Linked DNA regions of Lonchura striata. The protein of the gene in region 1 interacts with the protein of each later gene in a pairwise test. Links are inferred from orthologs where the notes say so. Each region holds a gene or a part of one and is shown in the gene's direction. Other genes may lie near its edges.

The links. The genes of interacting proteins can lie anywhere in the genome.
Region 2: the proteins of BRAP (region 1) and NUMA1 interact in a two-hybrid assay, tested with the Homo sapiens proteins (2 studies listed by BioGRID and IntAct). The link is inferred for Lonchura striata from reciprocal best matches to the Homo sapiens genes BRAP and NUMA1.

The regions. Positions count from the first base shown.
Region 1 is NC_134620.1:11,776,056-11,779,799, forward strand, and holds the start of BRAP (BRCA1-associated protein), read left to right. Parts: upstream 1-804; 5' UTR 805-869; coding exon 870-951; intron 952-1,078; coding exon 1,079-1,237; intron 1,238-1,858; coding exon 1,859-2,060; intron 2,061-2,837; coding exon 2,838-3,027; intron 3,028-3,744. UniProt on the Homo sapiens protein: Negatively regulates MAP kinase activation by limiting the formation of Raf/MEK complexes probably by inactivation of the KSR1 scaffold protein.
Region 2 is NC_134604.1:4,289,163-4,292,906, reverse strand, and holds the start of NUMA1 (nuclear mitotic apparatus protein 1), read left to right. Parts: upstream 1-1,147; 5' UTR 1,148-1,340; intron 1,341-2,056; exon of another isoform or gene 2,057-2,228; intron 2,229-3,744. UniProt on the Homo sapiens protein: Microtubule (MT)-binding protein that plays a role in the formation and maintenance of the spindle poles and the alignement and the segregation of chromosomes during mitotic cell division.

The DNA.
Region 1 (3,744 bases):
CCCTTCAAGTGCTGGGATAGTGGGATTGCTCATCACTAACACACACTAATTACTGATCATAATCAGTGGTGGCAGCTCTGCTCCCAGGGAACAAGGGACACAACCAGGTGACAGGGCCTTGAGGCGTGCCAGGGGAGGTTCAGGTTGGACATCAGGAGGAATTCCTTCCTGGAAAGGGTGGTCAGGGATTGGAACTGCCCAGGGAGGTTTGGCATCCCCATCCCTGGAGGTGTCCAAGGAAGGCCTGGGCATGGCACCGGGTGCTCTGTGTTGGTGACAAGGTGGGGACGGGTCAGGGGCTGGACTCCATCATCCGGGGGTCCCTTCCCTCAGGACCGATGATCCCGGGGGTTTCTCCCCTCAGGGATCCAGGGGGGTCTCTCCCCTCAGGACGATGATCCCCGGGGTCTCTCCCCTCAGGACCGACGATCCCGGGGGTCCCTTCCCTCAGGACCGATGATCCAGGGGGGGTTTCTCCCCTCAGGACCGACGATCCCGGGGTCTCTCCCCTCAGGACGATGATCCCGGGGTCTCTCCCCTCAGGACCGACGATCCCGGGGGTCCCTTCCCTCAGGACCGACGATCCCCGGGGTTTCTCCCCCGTCAGGACCGATGATCCCCGGGGTTTCTCCCCTCAGGACCGACGATCCCGGGGTCTGCCCCCTCAGGCTCCCGCTCTCGCGAGAACGTACCTCGAACTCTCGCGAGAAGCAGCGGCCGCCCCTCGCAGCCCCCCGCGCGCTGCCGCCGCGGCCGTCGCCTGTCACGTCACGGAGCGGTGACGTCACGGGGTCAGAGGGGAAAGGTGCGGGAGGCGGAAGCGGCGCCGCTCCCGGTCCCGGTCCCGTCCCGGTGGCCCCGCGGAGCCCATGAGCGTGTCCCTGGTCGTGATCCGGCTGGAGCTGGCCGGGACCTCCCCGCTGCCCGCGGGCTTCGCCTACAGCGCGGCCGGTGGGTTCCCCCCGCCGGGGCCACGGGCGGGGCGCGGGGCAGCGCGGCCGGGCCCGCCCCGCACCGCGCAGCTGCCGGCGGGGCCGCGGCTCCGCGCCCCGTCCCAACGCCTGCTTTGTCCCCGCAGCTCCGGACATGGCAGCGGAGAGCAGCGGCGCGGCCCCCGCCGCCGTGCCCGCCTGCCTGCAGGGGAAGGGCCCCGGGGAGCGGGCGGCCATCCTGCACCAGCACCTGGGCCGCAGGGAGATGACCGACGTGATCATCGAGACCATCCAGCCGCGGGCAGGTACCGGCCGCGGGCACCGGGCGCGGTTCGGGCTCGCCGGTGGCGGCCCCGTGGTGGAGGAGAGTGTCCCGGTGCTGTCACCGGGCAGGCAGGGCGGGGAGCGCGGGTGATGTGGGGTTTGCGGGGCCGGAGCGGGCCCCGCAGTTTGGGAAACAAGCTGGGAAGTTCAGGGATGTGCGGGGGGCACAGCCCGGGCACTCCCGTGGGCACAGCCCGGGCACTCCCGTGGGCACAGCCCGGGCACTCCCGTGGGCACAGCCCGGGCATTCCCGTGGGCACAGCCCGGGCATTCCCGTGGGCACTGCCCGGGCACTCCCGTGGGCACTGCCCGCTGAGCTCATCCCGATCCGCAGCTCCTCCCGAGGGGCAGCCCCGAGCTCTGGGACAGGACCCAGGGAACGGCTGGGGCTGTGTCAGGGGATTGAGGTTGGAGATCAGGGAAAGGTTTTGGGCACTGCCCAGGGAATTGGGCACGGCCCTGAGGCTGCCAGAGCTCTGGGAGAGTTCGGCCAAAGCTCCAGGCTGGGATTGTTGGGGTGTCTGTGCAGGGCCAGGGGCTGCACTGGGTGATCCCGGTGCTCCCTTCCCCTCACTAAAGGGGAAATTTTGCCCTTGTGGAAGATGAAGCACAAGCTGCCATGGAGGGAAGAAAATCCTCGGAGGCTGCATCAGCTGAGGACAAAACTAAACAGGAGGATCAAAGCAAGGAGTGTGAGGCTGCTCCAGACTCGCCTTCCAAGCAGCTCCCAGACCAGATTTCCTTCTTCAGCGGGAACCCCTCGGTCGAAATCGTTCATGGAATTATGCACCTGTACAAAACAAAGTAAGAATTCCTGATTCATGCCAGCTCAGGTGGGAATGGGAGGGTGAGTTGGCCACCCTGGGGCTGTGGCTCCTGAGTTTGGACAAACAGGAAGGGTGACTCCTTCCTGGGAATGCAGAGAGTGGCTGGTGTTAATGGTGGGGCTTGGGGCTGTGGGTGACACCCGTGACAGCTGTGGGTGACACTGGGGGTGTTGAAGGTGAGAGTGTAAGACAAACACAGATAAAAAAAAAAAAAAAAAAAGACATTTGAAAGCAGCTTTCCAAGGGATCCCACAGCTACATAGTGATCTCTGGGGCCTTAGTCTGGGAGCTGTGTGAGGCAGGAGGTCTCATGCTGTATTCCAGGGATTCCAATTCCACACCACTCCCCTATAATTGTGTGAGATCTCCCATTTCAGGTCTTCCTGAAAGAAAGGAGACCAGAAGCCACCAAATGGACATTGGCAATAGTAACAAACATTGCTCAGTTGTTCTAGGAATAGTGCTGAGCATCTGGGGCTTGCCAACTTCAGCTGTTTTTGTAAAAAACAGGTGTCAAACTATTCCTGGCAAATCCCACTGTTCTTGGAGCTGCCCAGGCTCATCCTTGGCTAAAGGATGTCTGTTTGTGGTCACTCACTACATCCCCTTCTTCCTCCTCACCGATGACAAAAGAGGGTTGAAGTTTGACAGCAGAGTTGCTGTGACTGTGTGCCCAGCTGTGCATCCAGCTGTGTGTCCAGCTGTGCCCTGCCCCAGGAGGTGAGGCACAGCTGTGTCCCTGCTGTGTCCCCAGCAAGATGACGTCCCTGAAGGAGGACGTGCGACGCAGTGCCATGCTCTGCATCCTCACTGTCCCCGCCACCATGACCAGCCACGACCTCATGAAGTTTGTGGCCTCCTTCTACGAAGTGATTGAGCACATGAAGATCATCAGAGACTCCACCCCAAACCAGTACATGGTGCTCATCAAGTTCAGCTCCCAGGTAAGGTGCTTCCAGCATTGCTTGGCTGCAGGAATGTCACACCAAGTCACTGATCTGGAGGCTTGGGTGGCTTCACTGGGCAGCCCTGAGCCAGGCTTGCACTCACCCATGGAGAAACAGCCCTGTCCTCCTTCCCAGAGTGTTCCTGGGACTGCTGAGATAGTCCCACACCTGGAAGCAGTGGATGCCCTGTTCTGGCTGTCCTGTTCTTTTGGCAGGATATTTATTAAAAATCAGTCCACTTCCAGAGTTCTCTGCTATCTATCAGCTTGTTCAGAGTCTTGTGCTGTGCTGAACAGAAAACACACAGCCAGGGGAGCTCCCTTTGTTTTAAGAAAGGCTTTTCCTGCTTTTCTGAGGAGCTGGATGGTCTCACAGCCACTACCAGTGTGGAAAGAACAGAACCCCCCCAATCTGAGAGCCTGGGGGTGAATTGGTACCCAGATAACAGTTTGCTCTTCAGCCCCTTGACTGGACTTTAAATTCCCCCTCAGGTTCCTGTCCTTTCACTTGGACATTCTCTTCTCCCAGCTGCACATGATTTATTTTGGGGTTCAGGGGGAGGTTTCCCCCAGCTGTGAATTCTGCCTGAGAGATTTCCCCAAGCCCTTTGTGCAGATGGAGGATTTGTGTGAGTTTTGTGCTAATTGCAGTCGTTACAAAGATGGTTTTACATCTCTTGTTCCATTAAATTACTCAGAAATATTTAGTGCTAAC
Region 2 (3,744 bases), on another chromosome or scaffold:
ATTACCAACAGTCCTTGCTAGACGCCACAACCATCCAGTTATCTATGTTTGAGACATACACATTAGCTCTCCTATGTTCTGGGAATAGAATTTTCAGTGAGATTTATTTTGGACTGTGGTTTATGGGGTCATTAGAGAGTGGGCTTCAGTATGCATTATTAGCCCTTTATAATTGAGAACTCAAAGGGTCTCACTTTGGATTGCTGTCTAGAAGGTTGCAAGAAAGTGGGCTTTAGTCATAGTAGTTTTCCATCTTGGCCACAATTTAATTTGGTTGAAGGTTCAACAACAAAAATACTGTTCCACATTGGTTGTTACTCAGGCAAGAAAAATAAGTTTCCAAGTCTGTTCATTAAAAACCAGATGCTCGATAAACATCTGTTACTTCCTTGGAACAGATTATATCCAATAAGCTCAAGAGGGGCTTAGTCTGGGTGCTCTTTGTGAAGGCCAAAGCCTAACAAGCATTTCTCAGGTCTTGGTGGGGCCTGAGCAGTGGTGGGGACATTCGCCACCACAATCCAGTTCGTGACTGAACCTCTGTGGGCCTCTACAGGGTGAAATAGGGCTGTGGCCACGGGGACAAGCACAGGACCCCCCAAGTGAGACGAGGCCCCGGTAGCAGGTCAGGACAGGTTTGGGGGCTGATGAGGACCCCTGCCTAGCTGGCACTGCAGGGCAGAGTGGGGTGTCTGTGTGTGACACACCGCCAGAGTCCCCCCACGTGTCCCCTGACACACTGTGGCCTTCCAGTACTCCGTGTGGCCCCGCACAACCCCCTCTACGTGTCACACAACCTCCCCTCATGTGTCCTCACCTCTCACTGCGGGCTTCAGACCCACATCCCCCACACCCCCGTGGTCCCACCTGTCTTACTGTTACCTTCACGAGTGTCCCCAAGCAGCCCTGTAACCCACTCCCGACACCAGGGCTTCCGTCGCTTGGACTGTTGCATGTTGCATGTGTCCCCCAAGTAGCCCGCGAGGGTCCCGGTGGCCGGCAGAGCGCTGTCCCCCGCAGCCCAGCGCGAGTGCGGGACCCCGCGGTCCGCCCGCCGTGTGCCGCCCCCCGCCCGCCGGTGCCCAATGGGCAGCAGCGGGGGCGGGCGCTGCCGTTCGAATAAGAGCGGCCGCGGCACGGGCCCCGGCAGCTTCCAGAGCACCGCCAATATTGCTGGAGCCCCCAGGGCATCGTCAGTACTGCTGGAGCCCCCAGGGCATCGTCAGTACTGCTGGAGCCTCCAGGGCATCGTCAGTACTGCTGGAGCCTCCAGAGCATCGTCCGTACTGCTGGAGCCCCGGCGACGCCGGAGACGGACCAAATTCGCAGCCACGGTCACGGTACGGGGAAAGCTGAGGTCAATCGCCGGGCGGGCCCCGGTGGTTGCTCGGCGGGGGTGAATTCAGGGCCGCAGAGCGAGGCTGTGCCAGAGGCGGGCAAAGCGCGGAACCCTCGGGCGAGCGGGGCACGTCTGTGGCACAGCCTCCGTCTCGGGCCAAGCTCGGCGGCGTCCCCGTCCCTAAAGGCATTCGGCGACCGCGTTCCTCGCAAGTTCCTCTGCTGCCCCCAGCGCCGGTTCCAAAGAGCCTTCTCCTTGTGCCCTTCCTGGGCCGTGCTCGGGGCAGCCCCATCCCGCGGCCCTGAGCCTCCGCAGGCAGCCCAGGCACTGCGGCGATGACTTCCGAGAGTCTCCGGAACAGCAGCGTCCCTTCCTCGCCCGACTCCTCCCTCGTCTAGCTGGTGGCCCGTGGGGTCCGGTTCCCGTCGAATCCGCGCCCGCGGGGGTGTGTGCGTGTCGGGGGGAGTTTTCCAGGGGTCAGCTGGGATGTGAGTCCGGCCAGGTTAGAGGGAGACGCAGCATCGGGGGCTATTCTCTTTCCCGAGCCGCGCTGGGGCCGGGAGCGGGTCAGAGCCGGCCGCAGCGGCACAGCTCTCCGCCGCTGGCCGGGGCAGGGTGGCGGCAGCGAGCGCGGCCGGGGTCGGGCGCTCCCCCTCCGCACGGCGCGGCGCCGGAGGTTTCGGTGCCGTGCGCCTTTAACGAGCGCGGCCCGGCGCGGTGACGTGGGGTGGCGCAGGGCCAGGAAGGGGAACCGCCGCCTGCCAGCCCCGCCGAGAGAAGCTCAACAACTTTTCTTTTGTGCGTGGCCGCTGGCTCCCCGGCCCTTCCTGGCCTGCCAGCGCTCATGGCGGATTAACCCCAGCGCGCCGACGACGGCCGCGCGGCCCCGGTAAGGCCCCAACAAAGACTTTCTGCCTCTTCCTCGTTTTGTTTTCCACGGGGCTGGGGGGGAGCGGGGCGGGGGCGGCGAAGCTCAGCTCGCCCAGCTCCGCCGCCTCGCCGCAGCGTGCGGCTCCCGGCCCGGCGCCTCGGAGCCCCGAGGTGCGGGTCCGGGGCCGGGTCGGGCTCGCCAACATCCGGGCGCTCGGGTCGGCGGCTGCTCTGCCCCGCCGCCCCGCGCCGGCTGCGGGCCCGTCCGTGCCGGGGGCTGCCGTGGGTCGCTCACTCTGCCCGGGTGCTCCCCGCAGCCGGACCCCCGGCCTGGGACGGCCCTCGGGCGCGTCCCCCGGCGCGCTGGCACGTCGGGAGCTCCGGAGCGCGGGCTTGCGTAACGCCGTGTTGTGACCGGAGCGGCGCGGGGGAAGGGGGGAAGGACAATGCCGCCGCCGCCGCCGCCGCCTCCGGGGCTCGTTCCCCGGTCCCCGCCGCCCCCCTGCAGCTGCTCTCCTCGGGGATGCGGCTGGGAGGCGCTCACGGCCGCTGGCGGGCTCCCCGACCGCTTCCCGCCTGCCATCGCCAATGGCGCGTCCTCACCGAGGGTCATGGCGTTGTCTCAGATGCTCAGGGTGGCCAGTGTCACCAGGGACAAGCCAGGCTGTGACCGCGGCAGGAGCGGGTAGCCCTGCCCGCTGTGCAGATCTCACACCAGGAACCAGTGTGTTTGCAGGCTGGTTCTGGTAAAACCCAGCTCGACGCTGGTGGGACACAGTTTTTTCCGAGGGTCTGCATCCAGTGCTGCTCGAGTGCTGTGCCCTGTGCCTTTGGGTAGATTTTTAGGGAGAAGTTTTGTCTGTGCCACCGAGGGGAGGGACAGTAGTTGTTGAGTGACCCAGCCATGACACAGGGAGCTGGATTTTAGCCAGATTGGAGGGAGGACCTGTCCTGCTGAGGATCCCATGCTTCCCAGCTGGACCGACAGCAGTGGGAGCTCTGTACTCCCTAAAGCCACCGTGGCTGGTTGGCTGTGCTGTGCTGAGCAGCTGCAGATCCCGAGCAGTGTTCAGGTGCAATACCGGGTGAGGAGCTCCCTCCTCATCTAGGCGACTTTTTGGCTCCCAGCAGTTCCCTCCCCTGGAAGACTACCAGGGTGGCACTGGGGGCAGCCAGCGTGGAGGCAAAGGTCGCTGTGAAGGGGACCTGGCAGTGATCCCAGATCCTGTCAGGGCAGCTCATCCCTGCTCCCACCCAATGCAGTGATGCCCAGAGAGCTCCCTGTACCTCAGCAGGTGGTTTTTTCCAGTAGTAGCTGTGGGAAGGGGAGCTGGCAGCGCTTCAATGGCTCAGCCACTGCCTTGCTGGGCAAGAAATGTTAGTGACACTTGGAGGTGAGAGGGAGGGAAGAAGGCACAGCAGGAGAATGAGGAGCCCGAGCAGCAGTTTTCCACTGACCCCATGTCAGGATCCTAATCTGTGGGAGTAGACCTGGCTGCTGCTCAGCATTGCTTCCCACTCTGTGCCTGTGGGGA